Linked DNA regions of Kluyveromyces lactis. Each later gene encodes a partner of the first gene's protein in a complex. Links are inferred from orthologs where the notes say so. Each region holds a gene or a part of one and is shown in the gene's direction. Other genes may lie near its edges.

What was found. Proteins that work in one complex are often made in the same cells at the same time.
Region 2: RPL29 (region 1) and RPP1B share a complex: the UniProt entries of both Schizosaccharomyces pombe proteins name them as parts of the large ribosomal subunit. The link is inferred for Kluyveromyces lactis from reciprocal best matches to the Schizosaccharomyces pombe genes rpl29 and rpp102.

Annotation. Positions count from the first base shown.
Region 1 is NC_006040.1:1,353,586-1,355,831, reverse strand, and holds RPL29 (60S ribosomal protein eL29), read left to right. Parts: upstream 1-1,394; coding exon 1,395-1,583; downstream 1,584-2,246. Other genes in the region: RRT5 (Rrt5p), read left to right, coding at 2,175-2,246. UniProt on the Schizosaccharomyces pombe protein: Component of the ribosome, a large ribonucleoprotein complex responsible for the synthesis of proteins in the cell.
Region 2 is NC_006042.1:543,621-545,847, forward strand, and holds RPP1B (ribosomal protein P1 beta), read left to right. Parts: upstream 1-1,376; coding exon 1,377-1,691; downstream 1,692-2,227. UniProt on the Schizosaccharomyces pombe protein: Component of the ribosome, a large ribonucleoprotein complex responsible for the synthesis of proteins in the cell.

The DNA of each region.
Region 1 (2,246 bases):
CTTTTCAATTCCAAACAACCACACAATCCATCCCATACTATTATGAATTATTGACTTAGAAACACAATAAACTTAAAATTTAAAAATAAGAAACAAAAAAGTGAAGGAATCACAGATCGAAGGGTATCTGGAATCAATTTGAAGAACTGTACCAAAAAAATTCAGAAGAAGAGACTACTCCACTACCATTATTTTATTATTATTATTATTATTATTACTACTAGATTCGGTTTTCTTCCTCTTTTTTCTCAAAAGAATTAAGAAAATAACCTTTCTCAACACCCATGGCATTGCAAATAGAAGGAAAGAGAGGAGTAATATGGTATCATTTTACTGACCCTTTCCTTTCAATAAAAAATTGGGATCAAGATATGTTAATTGTTTCCAAGTCTTAGTCATGTTTATTTATTTCATCTGTACCTAAAACCTTTTGTTCATCTAACATTTTCTTTGGCACTTATTTAATTTGTAAATGAAAAGAAAAAAACAATCCGTACAGCAGTCCGTCATACTTTTTCTTTGATGTTTATGCTCACATTATTGTCTCATTATGTTGATCTTCATGCTTAAATATTTGACGATATATTATGTCGTGCAATCTTTATTTGAGGCTAGTATGGGTTTGAGATAAACAGTTTTGGTCCATGAAATTCTGATAAACGAGGACTGTTTAAACTTTAGTTAACACCCGTACACCCATTGGTTTTATTTCTTTCAAAATTTGGTGTATCTCGGGAAATTCAAAAACTGAAAGAAATTACCGTATTTAGTATTTCTGCTGCTCCATTTTCGTCAGATTGCAGGTTTTCGCCTGCCACTTCATAGTTCAGACAATGAACCTTCACTTCAAACATCAATTGAAAGGAGTGAATGCTAAATTAAAGGTAGTTCGTGTTGTTACATTAGCAGTCGTAAGAGAACCGGAAACCAACTGAAAACGTACGTTTAAACATGGCACCTAAGTGATATATGGAGTACTGGAGAAAGACCGAACAAATTACCGTTAAATTGAGGATCAGTATGATCTTTATTCACCAAGTTTGATATCGAATTAAAACGAGAGGTAACCATCATTGACATTGACTAGAGAAGAATCATGCCGTAACGAATGAAACTTAGAGCACTATTGACTGAGATTTGTTAACTGATGATCGGAACTAACTGCTGAAATGGAGGGCAGAACGAATACAATACTGAGAACTTACTACACGACGGAGTCAATCAATGGACAAATCAGGTCTTATACTTTACAAGCAATACTCCTGGCAGACTTTTAACATATGGACGATTTAATTTTCCTCTGTACATCCATTATATCACAGAAAACACTTATCAATTCCAAATTCAATTTTACTAACAATATTAATGATGAATATATTTTCCTATAGTTCGAAATGGCTAAGTCTAAGAACCATACCGCTCACAACCAAACCAAAAAGGCTCACAGAAACGGTATCAAGAAGCCAAAGACCTACAAGTACCCATCCTTGAAGGGTGTCGATGCCAAGTTCAGAAGAAACCATAGATTCGCTTTGCACGGTACTGCCAAGGCTTTGGCTGCTAAGCGTGCTGAAAAGAAATAAGCAGCTTAGTATTTGTTCTGTCGATTGAAAAAAATGAACTTTTTTCCCAATTAGACTAACTCAACTATCTTGTATAACGTTTCTTTCATAATATCATTAATTTAAGATTAACTGACGGTTACTTTTGTAATTACGTTAATGCTCTTCAGGCGTCTTTCCTTAGCCTTAGAATCTCATCTCACAGTCACGTGCATGAAACTTTCAAAAAGTGTAAGGTATAGTTGTTACCCGGATACGTCAAGAACGGCGGCTAGTTTCCCTTTTTTATTTTTGAAGGACTCTATTGTGGAATTTTTCGTGTCAAAAGTCATCTAATTGACGCCACTCGCCTTATTCCTTTATTATATATAGATAAACGTCAGGTAGCCCCTGATTTTGTGACACAACTTCTATACAGAAATCTTCCTCGAAACATTATATATATGAACACAAAGTCAAAGGCCTTCTTGAATTCCCAATACATCGCTTGATAGTATAGGCAACAGTCGAAAGGGCGTACTTGTGGAGCTTAAGTTCACATCATATAGAAGATTTGGAAGAGTTTCAACAGGAAACAGCCAAGCGAAGTTGTAAAAAATTAACATCACATCAATGTCGTCGCACGCAAGGGTATACATTTCGAACTTGAGTTTCGAAGCAAGTGAGAATCAATTATATGAATAT
Region 2 (2,227 bases), on another chromosome or scaffold:
ATTACCTTTATTTTTTTTTGTTATTTGTCATTATACTCCATACAAAATCCAAACCCAATTCATTAAACGCCCTTTTTCAAAGAAAAAAACCTTTAAAATATTCTACAATTCGATCAACTAAGCTGTCTGTTGATTAATGAGATCAACCCAATCGTAGTTAATGTTTTTTTCTACGCAGTCAAATTGAGAATTTTATTATTGACGAAATTATGAAAACCAAGAAAATGGATACAGATTTTTTTTTTATCTATCATGTCAGCTTAAAAACGCCCGTTGGTAAGCGCTCAAGGAAGAAGTGTTTACTTGTTCATCTTCGCCGTTTTACAGTTCTTTCTTATGGAAGCGTTGAGTATATGCGTATTGGCTCGCGTATGCGCTGACACCACACGTAAAGTTTTTGGTAATATTGAAAATGAGATTAAAAACAAAACTATAATCATGTAATTCAATTTTAATATATTAACATTCATTATACTATAATTAGAAATCAATTTCACTCAGGATTACACAATGGAATGAACAGTCAGTCCTAACCTTTCGTAGGTTGCTTCACAGTGATCCAAGGGAAACACTGAATTGAAGGAAAGATATTATTTACAGTAACTTAGTAGAAGTTACCCTTTCGTGGGGAAGTGAGTTCAGTCCTATTGAGATATCTAAAATTAGTAATCCGATATAGTGTAACGGCTATCACACCACGCTCTCACCGTGGAGACCCGGGTTCGACTCCCGGTATCGGAGAAAAAATTATCCTTTTTTTATTATCACTTTTGCATGTTATAATATGTAGCTCGGGACTGTTCATATGGTGCTGTCATGATTGTGTGTAAAACCCAGTCATCTCACTTTAAATTTCTCATTATAATATATTCTGTTTTTTCCATTAATGGAAATAAATCCCACTTAACACCCATACACTACACCCATATTGACAGTTCTGCCCTGAGATACGCATAAATTATATTGTATTTCTACCGAGCTTGACAACACTTTTTGGGGCCGGTGGTAGTTGAAACCCGTGCTATGGGATATTCTGACGATTGGCAACACGTAGCTGTTCCTGTTTTAAGTGTTTTAGTGTCTCTTACATCTATGGCGTTGTCTTGTACATCTTCTTCTGTGTAAACTTACCCTCCCTTGTTGTCGTTTTTGGATCAACAAAACTTCAAATCTTGTTCAGTTTTCCAGATTTTCTGAATTTTCACCGAATAATATTTTTCACTGGAAAACTAGCTAGATTTCAATAAGATATTGAACGTTTAATTATACAACACGTATTTATTGATAAGTTGTAGTTAGGTTGTTTGTTGAGGTTCAATTGCTTGTTGTTGCGATTTTGCTATAGATCCACATATACACATCATACCTAACTAGCAATGTCTGACGCTGTTATTTCTTACGCCTCTTTGATCTTGGCTGATGCCGGTTTGGATGTCACTGCCGACAACTTGTTGACTTTGACCAAGGCTGCCGGTGCCTCTATCGACAACGTGTGGGCTGAAACCTTCGCTAAGGCTTTGGAAGGTAAGGACATCAAGGAAATCTTGTCCGGTTTCCACGCCGCTGGTCCAGCTGCTCCAGCTGCTGGTGCCGGTGCTGCTTCTGGTGACTCTGAAGCTGCTGCTGAAGAAGCTCCAGAATCTGAAAAGGAAGAATCTGACGATGACATGGGTTTCGGTTTGTTCGATTAAACGTCAAAATATAAAAAACAAATAAAACAATTCAACACATTTTCTCAAGGAGCATTCCTCCCTCCCTCGAATTTCCTTTTAGCGTCATATTAATCTATTACTTACCACAGGTATCGTCATCATGAAGAAATATTAGAAACACATTGGCAAAAATACTGGCAGTTGGGACATACTACACTAATAAACAGAGCATATTTTGGTATCTCATCTACTATCTGTCGATACATCGAATATCGATTTTCTCGGAATTGGTACAGTTTTTTGGATATGTCATTTCATGTGTATATATAATTTGTATTCGTATTTCTTCTAGATATATATCATCTGTTTGGAATGGACCATATCAGACTTTGTGGAGTGTTTTTGATTCCTTAATATTTTTTGCGTTATAATATATATGAGATATGCCTGTGTACCTACATCTGTACAGAAATCCCCTTCTTTCGAATTGGACCCTGTGCGAACTTTACTGTGTAGAACTCTATGTTAAGCTTTCTTCCATTGTTAAATATACGTCTGCCGAATTGACATCTGAA